6 linked regions of the Rattus norvegicus genome follow. The protein of the gene in region 1 purifies or fractionates together with the protein of each later gene. This does not show direct contact. Links are inferred from orthologs where the notes say so. Each region holds a gene or a part of one and is shown in the gene's direction. Other genes may lie near its edges.

Evidence for each region.
Region 2: the proteins of Irak1 (region 1) and Tollip purify together in Homo sapiens (affinity purification with western blotting; 11 studies listed by BioGRID and IntAct, with this or other methods). This does not show direct contact. The link is inferred for Rattus norvegicus from reciprocal best matches to the Homo sapiens genes IRAK1 and TOLLIP.
Region 3: the proteins of Irak1 (region 1) and Peli3 purify together in Homo sapiens (affinity purification with western blotting; 7 studies listed by BioGRID and IntAct, with this or other methods). This does not show direct contact. The link is inferred for Rattus norvegicus from reciprocal best matches to the Homo sapiens genes IRAK1 and PELI3.
Region 4: the proteins of Irak1 (region 1) and Stip1 purify together in Homo sapiens (affinity purification with mass spectrometry; 3 studies listed by BioGRID and IntAct, with this or other methods). This does not show direct contact. The link is inferred for Rattus norvegicus from reciprocal best matches to the Homo sapiens genes IRAK1 and STIP1.
Region 5: the proteins of Irak1 (region 1) and Peli2 purify together in Homo sapiens (affinity purification with western blotting; 7 studies listed by BioGRID and IntAct, with this or other methods). This does not show direct contact. The link is inferred for Rattus norvegicus from reciprocal best matches to the Homo sapiens genes IRAK1 and PELI2.
Region 6: the proteins of Irak1 (region 1) and Irak3 purify together in Homo sapiens (co-immunoprecipitation; 3 studies listed by BioGRID and IntAct, with this or other methods). This does not show direct contact. The link is inferred for Rattus norvegicus from reciprocal best matches to the Homo sapiens genes IRAK1 and IRAK3.

What each region holds. Positions count from the first base shown.
Region 1 is NC_086039.1:156,927,026-156,931,325, reverse strand, and holds the start of Irak1 (interleukin-1 receptor-associated kinase 1), read left to right. Parts: upstream 1-1,500; 5' UTR 1,501-1,681; coding exon 1,682-1,817; intron 1,818-1,828; exon of another isoform or gene 1,829-1,893; coding exon 1,894-2,061; intron 2,062-2,222; coding exon 2,223-2,354; intron 2,355-2,467; coding exon 2,468-2,571; intron 2,572-2,749; coding exon of another isoform or gene 2,750-2,752; coding exon 2,753-2,941; intron 2,942-3,167; coding exon 3,168-3,232; intron 3,233-3,456; coding exon 3,457-3,571; intron 3,572-4,300.
Region 2 is NC_086019.1:206,398,489-206,401,988, reverse strand, and holds part of Tollip (toll-interacting protein), read left to right. Parts: coding exon 1-64; intron 65-1,119; coding exon 1,120-1,272; intron 1,273-2,425; coding exon 2,426-2,516; intron 2,517-3,500. UniProt on the Homo sapiens protein: Component of the signaling pathway of IL-1 and Toll-like receptors. Inhibits cell activation by microbial products. Recruits IRAK1 to the IL-1 receptor complex. Inhibits IRAK1 phosphorylation and kinase activity.
Region 3 is NC_086019.1:211,662,240-211,665,739, reverse strand, and holds part of Peli3 (E3 ubiquitin-protein ligase pellino homolog 3), read left to right. Parts: intron 1-953; coding exon 954-1,148; intron 1,149-1,441; coding exon 1,442-1,630; intron 1,631-3,147; coding exon 3,148-3,500. UniProt on the Homo sapiens protein: E3 ubiquitin ligase catalyzing the covalent attachment of ubiquitin moieties onto substrate proteins. Involved in the TLR and IL-1 signaling pathways via interaction with the complex containing IRAK kinases and TRAF6.
Region 4 is NC_086019.1:213,651,155-213,654,654, reverse strand, and holds part of Stip1 (stress-induced-phosphoprotein 1), read left to right. Parts: intron 1-1,338; coding exon 1,339-1,548; intron 1,549-2,452; coding exon 2,453-2,594; intron 2,595-2,748; coding exon 2,749-2,890; intron 2,891-3,500. UniProt on the Homo sapiens protein: Acts as a co-chaperone for HSP90AA1. Mediates the association of the molecular chaperones HSPA8/HSC70 and HSP90.
Region 5 is NC_086033.1:24,012,310-24,015,636, forward strand, and holds the end of Peli2 (E3 ubiquitin-protein ligase pellino homolog 2), read left to right. Parts: intron 1-206; coding exon 207-773; 3' UTR 774-2,827; downstream 2,828-3,327. UniProt on the Homo sapiens protein: E3 ubiquitin ligase catalyzing the covalent attachment of ubiquitin moieties onto substrate proteins. Involved in the TLR and IL-1 signaling pathways via interaction with the complex containing IRAK kinases and TRAF6.
Region 6 is NC_086025.1:57,560,632-57,564,131, reverse strand, and holds part of Irak3 (interleukin-1 receptor-associated kinase 3), read left to right. Parts: intron 1-1,520; coding exon 1,521-1,635; intron 1,636-2,912; coding exon 2,913-3,031; intron 3,032-3,500. UniProt on the Homo sapiens protein: Putative inactive protein kinase which regulates signaling downstream of immune receptors including IL1R and Toll-like receptors.

The sequences.
Region 1 (4,300 bases):
TATGACAAAAAGTGTCTGTTGGGGAAACTGTAATCAGGAGAAGAAAGCTGCTGCTTTACAAGCATGCTTTCAGCTGGAGAAACAAGGATTGCCAAGTTGCTACCTGTCGATCTTCCTGGGCAGTGGGAAGTGAGAAAAGTTCAGAGATACAGAACTCCATTGCAAGCTCAAGATGTGTCTAAGAGAGAGTTGGGTTTAGGAAGCTTTCCCCACAGCTATTTATGTTCAGTCTAGTCAGGAAGGACTACAGCAGGGGTGTATATGTAAACTCAATTTCAGAGTAGAATGAGAAGTGCTTTTCAGGACACCACTAAAAAGGGCTTTTTTTTAATTTAGTTTTGGTCTTTCTGAGGTATGGTCTCACTTTGTATCCCTGGATGCCCTCAAATTCGCAGAGGTCCATTTGCCTTTGTTTTCTGGTTGCAAGGATTGAAAGGGGTGTATCACCAAGCCCAACTAAATCTAAAGAGTTCTTATTGGCTTAAGGCTGTTGGTGTATACAAGTTCAGGTGGGTAGACAAGAGACTGGCTATGCCATCTTCCTAACAGCCATAAAAGAACTGGGATTCTAAGGGCTTTAGTGATTTGAACCTGAGGACAACGACATGAGCTGTGAGCTCCACCCAAGCCATACAATCCATGCAGGTGAGTGGCGATGGCTAAGAGTAGTGCACTCATGCAAAGGGGACTTAAAGAGAGCATAATGAGAAAGTACTATGTGCTGAGATGTGTGCCATAGAGTGATCAAAAAGGCCAAAGAAATCCCTGAATGGATAACAGTAGAGGAGTGGGCAAGAGACACTCACATGGCTAAAAGTTACATCAGGTGGTGTCACCAACAACTGCTCTAGAAGGGGGTAGGAGAAGCTGCTAGATCCTAGGGTCCTTATGGGGAGAAGTGCAAACTAAAATAAAAGTGCAACAGAAAAAGAAAAGCTGACAACCGTGTATATGTTAAGAGACACAAATGTGTTAGTTGGCAAGTTAGGATCCTGCACAGGCAGATTCTGTGATCTAACACTTTGCTGGCCCAGCTGCTGGAAGGTTCCTGGAGGCAGAGGTGGGGGCACAGGGATCTAGCACACAAGCAGCAGCACTCTTGGTATACACTCTTCCAGATCATTCTCAGGACATCCATCCTTACCACCAAATGATTAGAGTCTGCCAGAGGGCTATTTTGTGACCCACATTTGACCCTGACTGAACAATTCGGCTGAGTCTCCACTGCTCCCCAAGTAAAGCCAAGGGGAGCCTCTCTGTGGCTTTCACCGGGCTTGGCATAAATTGCCTTTGTAGAACATCGTGTAAAACATCATGCCCTTTGTCTCCAGAACTGGAAATCTTTCTTCATCCTGTTCAGCCTTATTCAGATGGTTCCCACTGCTGGAAGCCCGCCGTCCCTGTAGAACCACAGCCTTCTGTTCTCCCACTAGGGACGCCCTCCTCCCTAGCAGAGCTCCTTCCCGGAGTTAAGGGCCTCACGAGACGCCCCCGTGTGGCGGAAGGCCGCGGAGGGCAAGATGGCGGCGGGCCGAGCGCCGCCTCTTCCGCCTGCCGGGTGTCGCACGAGGCCGGCTTGAAGGGGAAGTGAGTCAGTGTTTGTGGACCGGGCTGGCTAAGGCCCGCGCCCGCCGAGGCCCGGAGAGGCCTCGGCCCGGCGGCGGGGGCGGCGGCAACGGTCATGGCCGGGGGCCCGGGCCCCGGGGAGCCTGTGGTTCCCGGCGCCCAGCATTTCTTGTACGAGGTGCCTCCCTGGGTTATGTGCCGTTTCTACAAAGTGATGGACGCCCTGGAGCCCGCCGACTGGTGCCAGTTCGGTGGGTGACGGCAGGCCGACGTGGGGCGGTGGACCCAGGCTTCTGGAGCTGAAGCCTGATGTTCCCCGTCCCGCAGCGGCCTTGATCGTGCGCGACCAGACAGAGCTGCGGCTGTGTGAGCGCTCCGAGCAGCGCACGGCCAGTGTCCTGTGGCCCTGGATCAACCGCAACGCGCGTGTGGCTGACCTCGTTCACATCCTCACGCACCTGCAGCTGCTGCGTGCGCGGGACATCATTACAGCCTGTGAGCGAGCATAGCCCCAGGGACCCTAGGGATGGGAACCCAAGAGGGGTGACGGGTACAGAGCTTCCTGAGACAGGGGACCATATGGGAGCTCCCACACCCTACATATAAGGATAGAGAGACCTGAGACACCACCCTCCTTTCCTTCCTTGTTATCCCAGGGCACCCTCCTGCCTCTGTTCTGCCCCCAAGCACCGGTGCCCCAAGGCCCAGCAGCATCTCTGCAGGCTCTGAGACTGAGGACTGGAGCCCCCGGAAATTGCAGTCCTCTGCCTCCACCTTCCTCTCCCCAGGTAAAAAGAACCCGGGTGTTGGGCTTGATATGCGTGAGGAAAAGGCCACCATGAGTACTGACATGGCTGTTGACTGCTGCTGGTCTCTGCCTCTCACTGCCATCTTTATGAAGCTTTTCCAGGCTCCCAGACCCATTCTGAGTCAGAGCTCCTCCAGGTTCCACTCTCTGATTCCCTCGGGCCACCACTACAATCTTCAGCCCCCTCCTCCATCAAGGTAGGTGTCCCTTAACCCCCAGGGAAATTTCCAAAGAGGAAGAAACTTATCTTTGGTGTACCACAGAGCCCGAATCAGCACAGCCAGGTCATCTAAGAGACAACTAGTGTTGAAGGGAGCTTTCAACCTGGACCAAGGGGAATAGACAGTGTCCTCGCCTAATCCATGTCTCTTCCAGCAGCCAAGCCCAGAGAGCCCAGTGTCTGGCCTCCAAAGAGCTCGTCCCTCCCCATTTTGCTGGCCCTTCTGTGAGATTTCCCAAGGCACTTGCAACTTCTCTGAAGAACTCAGGATTGGAGAGGGTGGTTTTGGGTGTGTGTACCGAGCAGTAATGAGAAATACTACATATGCTGTGAAGAGACTGAAGGAGGTAGGTATAACAGTGGGGTAGCCACCTTGTTCGTCCAGTTCCTCCCTCCATCAGCACTTCACTTCTACAGTTCCCTGCCTCCAGCCTCCCCCAGCAATTCCTTCAGCCCTGATTCCAGTTCAAGGACCCCAAGCCTTCCATTGTTGTGGGCCTGGAAACAGCTGGCAAGCTTGGCTTATGCTGCCTACTTTCCCTACCTCTTCCCCCACCATGCCTGGGGCTACAGGAGGCTGACCTAGAGTGGACTGTGGTGAAACAGAGCTTCCTAACAGAGGTGGAACAGCTATCAAGGTGAGCCTCGGGGGGTCCCTCCAGTCTAGGGGCACAAGGAGAGCCACACCAGGGCCTCATCAGTCTTTAGGGCTGCACAACACAAGCTCTGGCTCCCTTGGGCCCTCAAGGCCTTGCCAGGCCCAGGTGAGGGAACATCAAGGGCTGCCCACCCAAGCCTGGTCTGATGAAAAGTAATGGAACCCAGAAAACTAAAGAACTCAGACTCTACTCTTTGGTAACAGGTTTCGTCACCCAAATATCGTGGACTTTGCTGGCTACTGTGCAGAGAGTGGCTTCTACTGCCTTGTTTATGGCTTCCTGCCCAATGGCTCCTTAGAGGATCAGCTTCACCTTCAGGTAGTCCTAGCTGATCTGGCACCATTACTAGCATAGCCCCTTAGCCTGTGACAGGCAGGACTTGGGCTTCTGGCTCCCCTTCAAACTCAAGGTTTTGCCCAATGTTTTCTTTCTTCCATTTTATTTGCTTTGAGACAATGCCTCACTACCCAACCCAGGCCAGCCTCAAACTGGCAATTCTCCTAACTCAGTCGACTCTATGCTAGAATTATAGGCATGTACCATTACACTCAGCTTGATCCAAGATTTTCCACACAATTCTTTCCTCTGGCCTCTCCTTACTGTTCCTCTATTGGGAGTTATTGGCTTTATAAGCAGAGTAGCTAAAGGATTTAGTTCATGTAGCTCTTGGGGAATGGGGACCAATGGAGACAGGCTGTCAGACTGAATCCAAGCTTGAGCCATGCCTGAGTATCAAACTCACAAGCCACCACATATACAGGATAAGAACTTCCTTCTCAAACTGTTTGGGAGAGGAGAGGGAGAAGGGCATCAGCATTTTCTGTGCAGTCAGGTGAACCTGAACCCATTGCATTTTGTCTTAAGTCCTGAGAAATGTTCCCTAGCTGTTATCCCAGCTGTACAGTGTTTGCCAAAACCTTCGGAATAGCTTTAGCCTCCACTTGCTTGTGAATTAGGTCATAAATAGTCTTGTTCCTCATTCTCCACAAAGGGAAACTAAGGCTCAGAATAAAGTGGATAGCTTGTTCCAAGCCAGAGTGACAGATG
Region 2 (3,500 bases), on another chromosome or scaffold:
CAAGGTTATTCAGTGCACAGTGCCCCCAGGTGTGGACTCGTTCTACCTTGAGATCTTCGATGAGGTGAGAGATGCTCCAATGTTACAGAGTTGCCAAGTTTGGGATCTGGCAGCCATGGGTGTGCTGCATGTGCCTTGTGGTTGTAGTCATGAGGCTGTTCTACTGGTGCTCAGGACCTTTGTACCTAGCATTTAGTGACTAGTGACAGGGTGTAACCTGCCTGGACACCTGGCATTTAGTGGCTGAATGACAAAGTACAGTTTCTTTGACAGTGTCCATTAGGAGCCATCACCAGTGATAGAAGCATGAGTAGAGTGTGAAGATAGATGTTCATGGATAAGTCGAATTACAAATAAGTCAGCACCCTCAGTGAGGGGAACACTGTTCTTGCAGGCCTCAGTTCCAGGCTCTGACACTAATGTCCCATGGCCATACCAGCAGTTAGGTGTGCAACTTTTTGAGGGCAGTCAGGAAACTCAGGTGGCTGAAGATGTCTTCTCGCAGCTTAGTTCTGGAGACCATGTGCTTGCCTCCTTGAAACAGAGCAAAGGGCAGTGGGAAGAGAATGGGGACGGTGAGAGCCAGAAAGGAAGTGGGCATGGGTAGTCCAGCGAGGGGGACGCAGCCACTCATTTGTCTTTACCCCCTTCCTCTGCTTTCTTCTTCAGCGTCTGTGAAGAGTAGGGATATGGGAAGGAGGGTTGGGCTATGGATGGGCTGGCAGCTCTTGTCCTTGTCTGTACCTACTGGGCTTGAGACTTACAGCTTCTATCTAGTTGATTAGTTAGGGCCACAAGGACTGCAGAGGACAGTGTCCATCCCTGAGCAAGGATGGCAGCCAAGAGATTTCTTTATTGTCCTTTGGCCTGACCTTATGGTGGTTACTCAGAAGATGCAGAAGTAGTGGTGGCCAGGTACAGGTCACCTGGATGTCTGGGATTGTGGTTTAATGGGAAGCTCCTTGGAGGAAGCTGGAGCAGTGAGAGGAACCCTGTCCTGCCAAGAACACAGAAGGTAGATGCAGGCGGCAGTCCAAGCACAGCCTTAGGAAAAGCTGGTCTCTATAACATGGGTCGTTGAGGGCCATAATGAGGTCATTTTACTCTTGTCTTCCTCAGCGAGCCTTCTCCATGGACGACCGCATAGCTTGGACCCACATCACTATCCCCGAGTCCCTGAAGCAGGGCCAAGTGGAGGACGAGTGGTATAGCCTGAGTGGGAGGCAGGGCGACGACAAGGAGGGCATGATTAACCTGGTCATGTCCTATACGGTGAGTTCACTGTCTGGCGAGGCCATTCTCAAAGAGGGTCTGGCACCTCCTTGAGATAGCTATGGCTCCCAGAACCTTGGGAAGTCATGGGAGGCAGGGCTGGGGGTCTGGTTTCCCACTGTCTCCTTTGTATTATCTGGGCCTTTCCTTTTAGTTGTTCTTGAGCCTTTGAGAACAGGGGAGTATAAAGCACCCGGTATGCAGGCCTCCTCCGCTTTACCATCCTACATGCCTCTCCTGGTGTGGAGTGTCACCCATCTTTAACAGGTGCTTTATGTAGCATAGGTCCATTGTATACTCGCTCATCTACAGTTCAAGATTATTTGAGCTGGGGCAGGAGAGGTGACTCAACAGGTTAAGAGCACTGCTGCTCTTGTGATTCCCAGTACCTTCATGGTGGCTGACAACCAACTGTAACTCCAATTCCAGGGGATCCAATACCCTAATCTAACCTTCACTGGCATCAGGCACACACATAATGCACACACATATAGGCACACAAAACACTAAGATATGTTAAATAAAACAAAGCAGTTCAGCATTTCCGAGAGAAGCTACTGATACTGATGCAGTCTCCAAAATGGACCCTGAAGGGAGCTTTGTAAGTCCTGTGTGAGAAGTGGTGTGGTTGTAGCTCGTGTGAGCCAGTGGTTGACATCATTTGTTTTCTTTGGTCTTCACCTTGACTCTTGTTCTCACTGAAACTGAAACTCATTCCATTCACTAGATTGGCTGGCTAATGAACTTGAGGGATCTTCTTGTCTCTGCCTCTCTCGTCCTAGGATTATAGATATGTGTCACACACACACACACACACACACACACACACACACACACACACACATAAACATAGCTTTATATATGGGTGCCGGGGATTGAACTCATGTCCTCATGCTTGTGCACCAAGCACTTTCCTAACTGAGCTGTAGTTCTGAGTCTGCAGCCCAAGTCTTCCAGCTGAAGGGAGGAGGTCTGCAGGAGTGGTGCAGATGAAACCAGTGGCCATGGACACTACATTCTTGCTGAGGATTCCATGTCTTGGGTGTTGCTGTCTGGGCTGTGGCTAGGACTAGCCCTATGATACCAGAAGTAACAAGATTGACATATGGTATGGTCCTCCTTGACACCCATGTTTTTCTTTGTTGTGTTTCAGTCCCTTCCAGCTGCCATGATGATGCCGCCTCAGCCTGTGGTTCTGATGCCAACTGTGTACCAGCAGGGTGTTGGCTATGTGCCCATTGCAGGTGTGTACTGCTTCTTTGGTAGGCATCCCAGGGACAAAGTAGGACAGGAGGAGGGAGGGGCCCAGCATTCCTATGAAGCTTGAGTAGTGTAGAATTGTGTAAGCATGGCTATTTTAAATGAAGACCTTCTAAAACCTACTCCAGTGTCATATTTGAATTATTTTTGTATACATAGGAAGTAGTGTTTGCTCTGTTTTTGCCACAAGTAAGGTGAGTTGAAATTTTTAGAGGTGTAGAAACGTTGTCTAGGAATATTTTCATGTATGAGTTGTAGGAATAAGAAAATCTGGTTCCTGTTAGACAAGGCATACTACATCTTAAATCATGGCTTTCGTTGAAAGTATTTACCCATGTAAATTAATACCTGCTTGAGTCGTAAAGTCAAGATGTGGCTTTTATATATTTTTTTAATTTTTAACCTTCCTGTGGATTTCACAGTACCTGGTGTCCAGTTGGCCTTCCTACCAGAGTAGGGCAAGCCAGATGAGATCACACACCTGCTTTCTTAGCCAACAGGAAAGACTGTGGCTCTGAGAGTAGACACCAGGGCAGGCCTTCAGGACCCCTGTTCTCTGCTAGGGTTCAGGAAACTGGAGTCCAAGCAAACCATGTAGTCCTGCTATCCCAAGGAATTCAAAGGCTAAGGCAGTAGGGATGGCCAGTCCATAGGGCAAGAGGGAATATGAGATCCTGGATGGGGCTTTGCCTATATGGTCCCTGCTTGCTGGTGCTCAGAGTGAGCATTGCTTTGGATCTAGGACAGCACAGAGCTGCTGTGGTTCATCTGTGTGGGGTCTGAGGGTTCCACACAGTCAGAATGGAGTGACTCATTAGTCTTTATTAAACTTAGCCCTTACGCCAGCTGAGCGAGGGAAGATAGTACAGGACTTGGGAATGAAATCCACCCACACATATCCTGAAAACAGCCCTGACAGACAGAACTTGGGCCTTCTGCCTATGACAAATCTCCCTGCAGGGACAAAG
Region 3 (3,500 bases), on another chromosome or scaffold:
AGAGTCATTTAACATCTCTGAGTCTTGTTGTCCTCATCTGTAAAACGAGGCCCATAGTAGCCTCCCCCCTCATGACAGGAATGATTGAGGTTTGTACATAAATTGCTTAGCTTGGGCCTAGAGAGCTAGGTTAGAGGTTAAGAGCACTTCTTGCTCTTGCAAAGGACTCAGGTTCAGTTCTCAGCACCCACGTCTGCTGTCTTACAGCTGCCTGTCACTCAGTCCAGGGGGGCCCATGCCCTCTGGCCTGCACGGGTGCTTGCACACATGTGCTACAGTGAATTCACTCAGAAACACATACATAAGCAAACACAATAAGCAGAGTGTGTCAGCTTATACCTTTAATACTAGCACTTGGGAGGTAGACATAAGTGGACTTGAGGCTAGCCTGCTCTACCTAGCAAGTGCCAAGCCAGTGCAGGCTACACAGTGAAGCCCTGCTTGACAAAAGCAACAACAACAAGAGCTGGGTGGCGGTGCATGCCTTTAATCCTAGGACCTGGGAGGTAGAGGCAGGCGGATGTCTGAGTTTGGGGCCAGCCTGGTAGGCAGAGTGAGTTCCAGGGTAGCCAGGAATACATATAGGGAAACCCAGTCTCAAAAAGAAAAAAAATCTTAAAAGCTTATCCGGTGATACCTTCTTACTAAAACTTAATTCACTGCTAATGTTTCAGGTGTCACTTTTAATTGGTCTGTCAACAGTAGAGGAGCAACTGAGTCGGGTATTTCTCAGAGCCGTGGGGCCACAGAGCAGAAATTGGTTCATACCACAGTTGGTCAGACGTAAGGAACCTGCAGGCCAGCCCACAGGGCCTAGCCTCTGGAGCGTTGTGGTTGCAGTGTGCACTGTTCTCTTTGGGACTGGCATTTCAGGTTTTGGTGGCTGCTGAGACACTGGGTGAGAAAACTGTGAAATTTGTCTGCACATGTGTTCTGGCCCTCCTTCCTTATAGATTGGCCGCTCTACTGAAAACATGATTGACTTCGTGGTAACGGACACATCTCCTGGCGGAGGGACTACGGAGGGCCCTTCTGCCCAGAGTACCATCTCTCGCTATGCCTGCCGAATCCTCTGTGACCGCCGGCCACCCTATACTGCCCGCATTTATGCTGCTGGTTTTGATGCCTCTAGCAACATCTTTCTTGGAGTGAGTGATTGCCCAAGCGTGGCTAGAGAGAGCTGAGGGGAGGGAGGCTGGGGAGATGCTGTGTCCTGGAGTGATGGGGCAGTACATAGCCATCCTTTGTGTCGCTCCTCTCGTAAGGCTTAGCAGCCCATTTCTTGAACAAGCAAAGGGAAGAACAAAGAGGCCAAGTGGTGCCCAAGACCTGAAATCCTCCCTGGGAAACCCCAGACCTCAAAGGTGGGGGGACACCATCTCTGGCATGCAGCCTTTTGGGAACTCTTGGAGTTGTGAGCTTATCCTTCCTGTGGTCCTAGGAGCGGGCAGCCAAGTGGAGGACTCCTGACGGTCTGATGGATGGCTTGACAACCAATGGGGTCCTGGTGATGCACCCAGCGGGTGGCTTCTCTGAGGACTCTGCCCCGGGTGTCTGGAGGGAAATTTCCGTTTGCGGGAATGTGTACGAACTTCGGGATAGCCGATCAGCTCAGCAGCGGGGGAAGCTGGTAGGTGACTTCCTCCGTCTCTCCCCTCCCTTCCCAGGCCCCCATCAGCAGTTCTTTGCCTTTCCATGCTGGGAGACGGGTCTATAGCACTTCTCCCCAAGGGAGTCCCACTAGGTTCTGCTTGGCGAGCCCCAGGCTTAGACAGTTCCTGACACTTGTCACTTGCCACACAGACAGGACCCGAGCAAGGTCACTAGGTATACTTTTATACAGCTGGGGATCCAGCAGGTGATATGAAATGCAGCCATGCACATGCGCTGTGTGGAACCAAATGGCTTCGAGGCTGCCAGCAGCTTAGAAAATCACACCCTCTTCCAAGGATGACACTTGGCCTGTGCATGAACAGTTTATAGTCCAGAGTGTTGGCAGCTCCTAGGGTGTCTGTCGCATATAAGGAGGGTGTTGTTATTCTCTCCCAGCAGGAGTAAAAGGGCCTTTGGAGTGGTTCTTACACTGCTCCTGGAAGTGCTCCTTTGGTGCTTCTTGGAGCACTGATGTTGAGAGCTGGGAGTAAATTCTAGGAAAAAAAAATAGGGCCGTATAGCTATATTCCTTGACTGGACCACAGAACTCTCCCCAGGCGTCAGCACATGAGAGGGTTATGAGTTCTCGGCCAGCCTGAGCACACAGCAAGAGCCTGTCTCAAAATCAAATCAGGGGCTAGAGAGACGGCTCAGTGCTAAGAGCACTAGCCATTCTTCCAGAAGACCCAGGTTTAGTTCCCAGCACCCACATGGCAGCTTACAGCTATGCATAACTCTAGATCTAGGGGATCCAACACCCTTTTCTGGCCTCCATGGGCACCAGGCACACATGTAACACACAGGCATACGTGCAGGCAAAACACCCATAAAGTTAAAAACTAAAGAAACAAAACAAACCATGCACATGAATGTAACACAGACATGTGCTCGTTATGTGCCTGCTGTATACCAGACATTGTTATGTGCCCACTGTATTCCAGACATCGTCCATGTTTTTTTCAGTTGACTTATTTAATCTTTACAAGGCCCACTTGAGATATGAAATTCACTTTGAGGTCCAGGAGACCAAGATACAGAAGTTACATTATTTTCTTGGTAACACTAAGTCAGTGACTGGCAAGATCAGGATTCAGACGGAGGCTCTCTGGCTCTAGAGATCTTGCTGTGATCCACGACCTGGGGGGCAGCCAGTTTGGGCTCAGTACCTGTATCCCCCCTGGGAGGTTATTTGTTTTCTTTGTCATATTCTACTTCTGCCATTTTGGGAGAGCTCTGGAAAACGTTTCAGAAAAACCTTGCTTTGGGCCAGACCTCCTGATTTGACCTGTGGAGATAGCAAAGCCCGGGTCCTGCTGAGATAAAGGGCTGTATGTATTTGGGGGCATCTGTCTTCCTTGGTTCAGCTGGCCTGCTGGCCTAGGGTGTTCTCTTAAGGGAATGTCACTGGTCAGATAGGTGGCTTCTCTGGGGTGAGGCTGCCTGAAGGCAGGGCCAGAGAGCTCTTGGGCTAAGGCCTTCTGCTGCCTTCGGCAGGTGGAAAACGAATCCAACGTCCTGCAAGATGGTTCGCTCATCGACCTGTGTGGGGCCACACTGTTGTGGCGCACTCCGGCAGGGTTGCTGAGGGCACCCACCCTGAAACAACTGGAGGCCCAGCGACAGGAGGCCAACGCAGCACGGCCCCAGTGTCCTGTGGGCCTCAGCACCTTGGCCTTCCCCAGTCCAGCCCGTGGCCGCACAGCACCCGACAAGCAGCAACCCTGGGTCTACGTCCGTTGTGGTCACGTCCATGGCTATCATGGCTGGGGCTGCCGGAGGGAGCGAGGCCCCCAGGAGCGCGAGTGTCCTCTCTGCCGCCTTGTGGGACCCTATGTGCCCCTGTGGCT
Region 4 (3,500 bases), on another chromosome or scaffold:
TCATGTTCAAGGCTAGCCTTTGAAGTTAACCTGAGACCCTGTCCCAACGCAGGTTAAGTGGAGGGAAAGGCTAGGGGTGTGGCTTTGTGGTGACTTTGGGGAAAGTCAGCACTCTGCTTAAGCAAAGTCTCATTCACTTTATGAAGCTCCTTGGAAATGGAGAGACTGGGATTGGATGATATTTGTCTTCATCTTCTTCCTGATAGAGTAATAGTAAAACATGGCAGGAACTTGGCGGAGACTAGCTCAACCCTTAAAGGTTGCACAGTAAGTCCTTTTCAGCTCTTGCTAATAATGGGAAATAGCAGTAGAGCTGTAATGAACATAGAGGAACAGGATCCTCTTATTCTGAAGCTTCTAGAGCATGTGTATACGTGATGTGTGCATGTAGATGTGCACATATGGCTGGCCTTTAGAGGACAACTTGGTGGGATTGATTGGTTTGTTTTCATCCATTACTCCCCAGGTATTAAACTTAGATTGTCAGGCCTAGGTGTTTTATCAGGCCCCATCTTGAGGTTTTTTTTGAGAGAGTGGTTTCTGTATAGCCTAGAACTCAGATTCCTTCAGCCTGAGCCTTCTAAGTCCTGGGAGTGTGTATGTGTGTGTGCCACATGTGTCTGCTCAGTCATGTATCTGAGCATGCTCAGCTCTTCCTACACTCAGATTTTATTTATTTGTTTGTTTTTTAGTTTTGTGTTCGTTGGTCTTTTGCCTGCATGCATGTATATCTGTATGAGGGTATCAGAAGCCCTGAAATTGGAGTTACAGATAGGCATGAGCAGCTATGTGGGTGCTAGGAATTGAACCCAGGTCTCCTGGAAGAGCAGTCATCTTAACCACTGAGCCATCTCCAGCTACTATGATTCAGATCTTTGACAAGTGAATTTGCTTTTCAAAGTAGCCAGTTTGCACTGGAGGGGCTGAATTCTCTGCCAGTGGAGGACAAAGAAGTCTTGATGCCTCCGCTTTGTTTCCCTGCTAGTTTTCAGAGGTATAGGACAACATGGATGGAATAGTATTTTTCTCTTTTTTTTTTTTTTTTTTTATTCATTTATTATATATAAGTACACTGTAGCTGTCTTCAGATACACCAGAAGAGAGAATCGGATCTCTTTACAGATGGTTGTGAGCCACCATGTGGTTGCTGGGAATTGAGCTCATGACCTCTGGAAGAGCAGTCGGGTGCTCTTAACCGCTGAGCCATCTCTCCAGCCCGTATTTTTCTCTTTTTGATCAGTAGTGGCCAACTTGATACTTACGAAGAATAAGAATATCTACACCTAGGGAGGAGAATTCAGTTCTATAGAGTGAGGCTGTATACTTTTCCCTCCTCAGGTGAATGAGCTAAAGGAGAAGGGCAATAAGGCCCTGAGTGCTGGGAACATTGATGATGCCTTACAGTGCTACTCTGAGGCAATTAAACTAGATCCTCAGAACCATGTGCTCTATAGCAATCGCTCTGCAGCCTATGCCAAGAAAGGAGACTACCAGAAGGCGTATGAGGACGGTTGCAAGACTGTTGACCTGAAGCCTGACTGGGGCAAGGTAAGTAGAAGAGTTACACTCTGTACAGTTTTCCTAAGAACTTTGATTCTTGTCTGTCGTTCCCAATTAGCAGGCCCTCCTGACCTGTCTAGTTGGCTCTAGGTTGCTCCTTAAGACCTATCTGTCCACCCTCTCTGAAGGTACCCCTTGAAGGAAACACTTAATTCTCCAAGTTTGTTATCAATTATAAAACAGGTTTTATTAGTTGTACAGATAAGAAATGAAACATTGCTAAGTAAGCTGACAGCTTATAGCCATGGGTTGCATGGAGATTTATGCACCTTTGTCTGGATTCTTTTTTTTTTTTTTTTCTTTCTTTCTTTTTTTGGAGCTGGGGACCGAACCCAGGGCCTTGCGCTTGCTAGGCAAGCGCTCTACCACTGAGCTAAATCCCCAACCCCTTGTCTGGATTCTTTTAGTATCAGCGTTGGTGTTGTATCCTTTCCCTATTTGCTGGTTGGCCTTCATGTGAGTATCATTTGGGTCTAAAAAGTACATGGCAGGAGGGCCAACCAGAGTAGCATATGCCTTTAGTCCCAACATTTGGAAAGTAGAGACAGGTGGAATTTGAGACCACCCACAGCTACATGAGACCCAATCTTAGGAAAAAAGGAAGGGCTGGTGAGATGACTCCATTTTTACGTCACTGGTAGCTCTTCCAGAGGACCTGGGCATAATTTTCAGCATCTACGTGGTGGATGACAACTGTCTTCCAGTCTCAGGGAACCCAGTGCTGTCTTCTGGTCTTTGTAGGCACTAGGCATACATGTTGCACAGATACACATGCAGAAAGAACACCCTTATGCATTAAATGTATTAAAAACAAAACCCTAATAAACTCTTTGAGTTGATCTGAATTTACTTCTGCATGACCACTATTTACTATAATTTTGGGGCTGTTCAGGGTTATTCAAGAAAAGCAGCAGCCCTTGAGTTCCTAAACCGGTTTGAAGAAGCCAAACGAACCTATGAAGAAGGTTTAAAACATGAAGCCAATAATCTACAGCTTAAGGAAGGCTTGCAGAACATGGAGGCCAGGTTGGCAGGTGGGTACTCACTCGCATTTTCTTTTATGTAATGGGATTAATTTTTAAAACAATGCTGTCCTCCCCAAAGTGAACATAGGTGGTAGGCGGGGTATGTTTGATATCGTAGAGACTGAAATTAACATTTCATACTAATGTACTTTCATTTGGACAGAGAGGAAATTTATGAATCCTTTCAACTTGCCTAATCTGTACCAGAAGTTAGAGAATGATCCCAGGACAAGGACACTGCTCAGTGACCCCACCTACAGGGAACTCATAGAGCAACTACAGAACAAGCCTTCAGACCTGGGCACGTAAGTAGAGGCAACAGGAACTAACAGAAGCTCTCTGATATGGAACACTGAGTAGGACAGGTTTTGTAATTTGTATTAATTTAAAAAAAAATGTCAGGGACTGGAGAGATGGCTCAGCGGTTAAGAGCACTGACTACTCTTCCAGAGGTCCTGAGTTCAATTCCCAGCAACCACATGATGGCTCACAACCATCTGTAATGGAATCTGATGTCCTCTTCTGGTGTGTCTGAAGACAGCAACAGTGTACTCATGCGTAAAATAAATAATTACATCTTTTTAAAAAATGTTGGGTAGCTTGTAATAGCAAAACACTCAGAAATGTTACTTCTAACTCTGCCTTTCCTGGAGTTCTAGCTTTGCTTATTTTTGTAACTGTGAGGATCAAACCCTGGCCCTTGCCCATGCTGGGCAAATGTTCTCTCTCCGAGCTTTAATCCTGTTGGTAGGTAAGGATCATCTTCTACTTACAGAAATCTGTTAATAAGTGCACAGGTAAGGAGCAGTTGTAGACGCCAGCCTTGGTATAGTACACATCTCAAATTCCAGCTACTTGGATGAGTTTCTTGCTTTTTGTTGATTTTTGAGAGTTTTCCTTTATTACCCTGGTTGT
Region 5 (3,327 bases), on another chromosome or scaffold:
GGGACTGAACCCAGGGCCTTCTGCTTCCTAGGTAAGCGCTCTACCACTGAGCTAAATCCCCAGCCCTCCCCTCCCCTTTCTAATGGGATGCGTTACCTCCCTGTCTTCTGCTCTGTTGCGTTCTGCGTGAAGAATGTTCGGGTGCCCTTGCCCCCATAGATCGTTGGATTTCGCTTTTAAAGCCGTCTCTATTAAACCTGTTGCAGGTGGAAAGCGAGACCAATGTCCTGCAAGATGGCTCCCTCATTGACCTGTGCGGGGCCACGCTCCTCTGGAGAACCGCCGACGGCCTCTTCCACGCACCGACTCAGAAGCACATTGAAGCCCTCCGGCAGGAGATCAACGCAGCCCGACCCCAGTGTCCCGTGGGCCTCAACACCCTGGCCTTCCCCAGCATCAACCGGAAGGAAGTGGTAGAAGAGAAGCAGCCCTGGGCGTACCTGAGCTGCGGTCACGTGCACGGCTACCACAGCTGGGGCCATCGGAGCGACGGCGAAGCCAACGAGCGGGAGTGTCCCATGTGCAGGACTGTGGGCCCCTATGTCCCCCTCTGGCTGGGCTGTGAGGCAGGGTTTTATGTCGATGCAGGACCTCCAACTCACGCTTTCACCCCCTGTGGGCACGTCTGTTCGGAGAAGTCCGCAAAGTACTGGTCCCAGATTCCACTGCCCCACGGAACCCACGCATTTCACGCCGCCTGTCCGTTCTGTGCCACGCAGCTGGTTGGTGAACAAAACTGCATCAAATTGATTTTCCAAGGTCCAGTGGACTGACACCCTGGACGACCGTCTACATGACGATAACACGTTACTGTGAAGATTTCGCCACTAACTGTAGATCCTACCTTTTTGTAAGGCTCTTTGTTGAGGGGACGGCGGACTGAGTTGGGACGACAGAGGTGGGGCAGGCGATGACAGATACCACTGTGTTTGGCATGCCCAGAACAGCAGCCTCACCTGAGGTCTGCCTGACTAAACTTTAATACCTGTGTAATGATTAGATTTCAACTGCCATGCTTTTATTTTTAACTTTAGGTTTTTAACCAGATTTTTTTCCCCCTTTGTAAACTTGGGTAAGATTTTACAAATGTAGAAGAAGGGTACTCTGCAGATGTCTCTTAGAGCACAGCCTGCAGAGCTGTGTGGCACAGGAGTCACACATCTGGTGATGTTCAGTGGTTGGGAATACTTGACAGTGGCCAGAATCTGACCCAGTACCAAAGGGCCAGCTCTGTTGGCCCTGCCACAAACACCCGTGGACAGGAGGCGTAGACCATGCACTTGTCTTGAACTCTGTAGCTTTTCCTCACTTTTTTTTTTTTTTTTTTTTTTTTACTTTGGGTGGAAGAGAGAATCCATATACTGTTTCATTTTAACTTTAGTGGAATTCACTTACATATTCACTCATCAGATATGTGGCATGTCAAACAAAGAACCCCCCCCCATGGTCCTAGCCTGCCCTGTTATTAATTTTGCTTAGCGTGACACTTACATGTCAAGAAGTGATTGGTTGGTTGGTTAACTGATTGATTGATGATTGAATTCATGAACTGAGGGTGGCAGCAGCGGGCGTGTCCTAGGTACTCTAACATCAGTTTTATCTGCACACCAGAAAACTTAAGACCCAAGTGGGATTTAAAATACGCTTTTACTTCTAAAACCACTTGCTGGCACGTCCTGTGTTTCCTTTCTCTTCTTCTTAGGAAAGCCCAAGATTTTTTAAGCCCAGAAGCAACAAGCAACAGCGAGATTGTCATTTCTGTCCCCTACCTTCCCACCATCTGTCACCTTCCCTCACAGCTTAAGGAACCCCATAAGGTTTTTGGTTTTGTTTTTTGTTTTTTGTTTTTTTTAATGTTTGCAAATCAAGCTAAATCTAAATGTGATTGTCAGCTACACGGAGCACTGAGTGGCATGTGTGTAGAGATTGGTCGAGATTCCTGCTTTTGAGAGGGCAAGTGAGTGTTTACTGGGGAATCATTAAATCAGTTTCATATGAGCTGCACTGCCCCTCTCTGTTTCATCTTGCATTGATTGATAATGCCTGAGTGCTTGTTTTCTATGCTTGGTGACAGTGGTATCAGAGGCTCCCAGAATGTCAGCATGGAGACACACTGCTGGGCTTAGCTGCATTCCACCCCATTCCCAGGGAGAAAGTCTTCGGTTAAATTAACATCTGCTCAGAGGGACCGCCAACAGATCTGATCTGCCTGTTTTAGCTTTTGTAAATATAAATAATTTATATGATTATGACATATCCATACTTGAATCGGTTTTTCCATATCTTGCCTATTAGCAGATATTTCACCTATTTTCAACCAATTAAACCTATTTGAGTAGTTTTTCCTGAAGGCAAAACGGTAATATTAATTCCTCTGTAGTGTTGCTGCTTAGTTCGACTCAATTTGCTGGAGTTACCTGTCATTTTAAAAATAGCTTTATTTTCCCTTGGAGACTGTTAAGAATTATGAGAGAGTTTTTTGTTTTAATTATATTTATGATGTGAAAATCCAACAACAGTCTTTTTACTGGTAGTTCCCTATGTTCTACATAGATAACCTGCAGAAAAAAATGAAATAAAGACAGAGAGAGAGAGAGAGAAAGAGAGAGAGAGAGAGAAAGAGAGAGAGAGAGAGAGAAGAGAACTTTCTAGAGAAACCTAGGGTGCCACCTGGTGCAGCCAGCGTTTTTATCACTGGTTTTCCTCCCCACCCCACCCCACCCCGCCTCTAGTTATATGGAAATTTATAGTTTGAGGGTTCCTGTCGTAATCTTGTAAGATAAAGGGTCTCACACCCAGTAAGGTTAAATTTTATATTTCACCCATCAAAAATAAAAAACAAAAACAAAAGAAGAAAAGCACCAAACTTGTTTTTTCAAGGAAGTTCACTCTGATACCAGACTACTCTGTGTCAAGAACCATGTCTGGCACATACCTCGGAATAAGGCAAGCATCCCAGCATCAGAGGTCATAACATGGCGAACTCGGTAATAAACCACAGGCTCTCCGTAGGGGCCACCTTAGCTCTTTGGTTTCCAGGTGAGGTCCCACCCCCGACCCCTGCCAGAGGAATAGTCAGCCTGCAAAGGCAGCCACGCCACCGCGACTGGGGCAGCTTCTGATGAGTCGCTTCTCTACTGAGGAAAGGTTTTTAAGTTTGAAAAACGGTTTGTTTGGTTTTTTTTGAGAATGAAGAACTGAAGTTCACCCACGTAGAATGAGACCGTGGAGAGAAGGAAGCTTCTCCAAGGTCAGCTCTGGGTGTTCCGGTTGGGCTGCCATCACTTGAACGATGAGCCCCACACCTCCTCCCACTTGTATATAAGA
Region 6 (3,500 bases), on another chromosome or scaffold:
GTGCTTTAGTTCCTGCCTTGACCTGACACCTGATAAGAAGGACTGGAGGGGCTGATGGTTTGTTTTGGCTCACAGTTTGAGAGGACAGTGCACCATTCAGCACATCATCACCAGAAGTTACTGTGGGAGAATGGCATGGTGCCTGGCCTCACTGAGTCCAATCAGGAAGCGCAGAGAGATGGGTCCTTGTGCTCAGCCTACCTGGTCCTTTTCATTCATTTTGGGACCTGAGTCCACTGGATGCTGCAGCCCTCGTGCTGTGCTTTACTAAAGCTAGACAATGAAGAGTAACCACCAAGGGACTCTGGCCAGCACACACGGCTCTGACCCGCCTTGCCCTGTTCCCTCTGCCTTGCTAAAAACCACTAGGTTAGATTCCTAAGGTTAGCCACCCAGATCTATTTCCTCATTTGCCCACTTCCTCCTCTTATGACTGACTATTAAGGTCCAGCTATCAAACGCTCCCTTGGGGCTGCCCTAATTACCCTGTCCAATCAAAATTAAATGCCTGATCCTAACATGAGGTTTTTCCTTTTACCCTTATGAACCGTCTCATTTGCCTATGGGCCAGTCTGTCTTCTTTCTATTCAGGAACAGTCCTTCCCACCGCAACCCCCAGACAAATACCCCTGCCCCCTCTCCCTGTTCCTTTCCCCTTCTCCCTCATCCTCTGTCTCTTATTCCCTGCCTTCTGTGCCTCTGGGACAAATAAATCTCCTTTGTGCTGAGAATCTCGCTCTTGGGTTTTCTTGAGCCAACACTAGCCCCTTCCACTATCATGCCTGGACTATACTGATCTTCATATAAACATGGTATCTAAGGAATAGAGTTTATTTGTTGGTTAATACATGATTAGGACAGGAGCCTAACATGCATCTAGTACACTAATGTAGAAATCTGAAATTTAAAATCAGTTTCCAGCTTTTGTAGATGAAGATACTATTGTGTGGGTTGTCGATGACAATCCAAGCTTGGTAAAGGCATGACTGTCCCTTGCCTGCCTGTAGCCAGGGCTTAACCCAGCACCTGATGTGGTAATGCCCCACTGATGGGTGGATGAAGACAGCCTTCCCTAGTCCCGTGTTTTCGTGATTTTCCTTGCATTGCAGACTTAATCAGATGGGTTTCTGTTGCATAACCATTATTTGCTTAACAAATAAAGATATGACATTTTTTATATCAGCGAAAATAAGTGAATATTGAATTGTGGTTTTTATATGAATTTTTTTGTATGACGTTCTTAGTATCCCAAGGCTTAAGAAATCGATACTTCCTTACATTTTATTGCCTTGTATTTTAATATATTATATTGATTTACATGCTGGCAGTTGATTAAAACCGGTGGAACTAGTACTTGCCTGAACTCCCAAGGAAATGACTTGTCTCTTGGTCAAACTTAGTTACTGTCTCTTGGCCAAACTTAGTTACACTAGAACTGTTCCCCACCCCTCCTGATCAAGCCTCTTGTCCGTCTTCTATTTAAGTGGAGAATCTGATGGTTTAAAACTTTCTGTTTCAAGGTTCAATCACCCCCACATACTAGAGCTGGCTGCATATTTCACAGAGATGGAGAAACTTTGTCTGGTTTATCCCTATATGAGCAATGGGACACTTTTCGACAGATTACAGTGCACAGTAAGTCGCGGGTACCAGTCCCTCAGGTCCTTTGGCCCACTAAAGCCCAGGATGAAGGAGGGCTGTTGACACTCGAGGGAGCTGAGGGGCAAGATCTGAGCATGCGCATGACTGGGGGGCGGGGATATTCAGGAATGGTTCCCGGGGAAGTGAAGGGCCTCCCAGGAGACTGATGTCTTACCCTTAGAAGGTTCCCTGAACACACGAGTTCCTGGGTTCTGTGTAATTTAACAATATGTGTAGTGAGTTTATATCAGCTATTCTCAGCTTCCTTGGCATGTGGTATTCAAGTGGGTACAGGGTTGGAGAATCAAACCCAGTGTCTTATGCATGCTCAGAAAGGATTTTACTGCTGAGCCGTACTCTCAGCCCATTGGCCACAGTCTGATTAAACTAAAGTTAAAAATTGTTGGGTATTTCCCTAGAGCAGTGGTTCTCAACCTTACTAATGCTTTGACCCTTTAATACAGTTCCTCATGTTGCAGTCTTCCCCCAACCATAAAATTATTTTCGTTGCCACTTCATAACTGTAATTTCGCTGTTATAAATTGTAATGTAAATATCTGATATATGTTATATTTGATACGTGAATCCTATGGAGTTTGGAGCCTGCAGGTTGAGAATCACTGTCCTTGAGCTGTAGAGGAAGACCCATTTGGAATTAAAAACAGATTGTAGCAAACTGAAACGTTGATTTGCCTCTTCTTCCACCACTCCATCTACAGCTGTGGCTGTTGTGTTTTATAAAAAGATAGAGAAGAGAAGCCAGGGATATGTTTAGTGGGGGTGTGTGGTATGGTGTCGGGGAAAGGGGCACCTCTGCAGGTCCATGCTGAGGCATCCCTTCCCCCTGAGGTACCAGCCACAGATGGTATAGTATGGAATAGAGTTTATTTAGGGCATGGGGAGGGGAGTTGAGGGAGTAGTAGAGACTGAAAAGGAGAGGGGGGAGGGGAGGACGAGGAGGACGAGGAGGAGGAGGAGAGGCTGGCCATGAGCAGGTAGATGGGGGAGAAAGAGGGGGGAAGGGTAAGGGGCAAGAACAAGATAAGAGAGCAAGAGAGAAAGGAGGGGGTAGCCCCTTTATAGTGAGTCAGGAACACCTGGCTGTTGCCAGGTAACTGTGGGGTGGTGCACACCTGGCTGTTGCTAGGTTACTGTGGGGCAGAGCCTAGACTAAATGCCAACAGTGGCTTTGGAACCATGTGCCCACATAGTGACTATATAGGTAATTTGCACTAAGAAAATACAACTAAGTCAACCTGTCTGTTTTTTAGAATGGCACAACCCCACTTTCCTGGCACGTTCGAATCAGTGTGTTGATAGGAATAGCCAAAGCCATCCAGTGCTTGCACAACACCCGGCCGTGTGCCGTCATCTGTGGCAACATTTCCAGGTAAATGATCTGAGAGCCTTAGGTTCCACCTAAACCCCTGTCAGCACCACAGGTGAGTGTTCTTCCCACCAGTCCTCTTCCTGGGTACTTAAGAGGGCAATAAAACCTCTCACCAAAGTACTACAATTCTGCGTTCACTAGATTTCTAGAAACCATATTTATATCTCCAAGGGGTGACAAATATTACCTCTATGAGCTACTAATGAATTTTGTGTATTGTATTAATCATACTGAATAGCCAGATGTGCATCTGAACCTATATTGGCCTCTCCACCCGAACTCTTAAGCTCATGTGTGTGTGTGTGTGTGTGTGTGTGTGTGTGTGTGTTTAAAGATTTATTTATTTACTTTATGTATGCGAGTACACTGTAGCTGCCTTCAGACACACCAGAAGAGGGCATCAGTTCTCATTTCAGATGGTTGTGAGCCACCATGTGGTTGCTGGGAATTGAACTCAGGACCTCTGGAA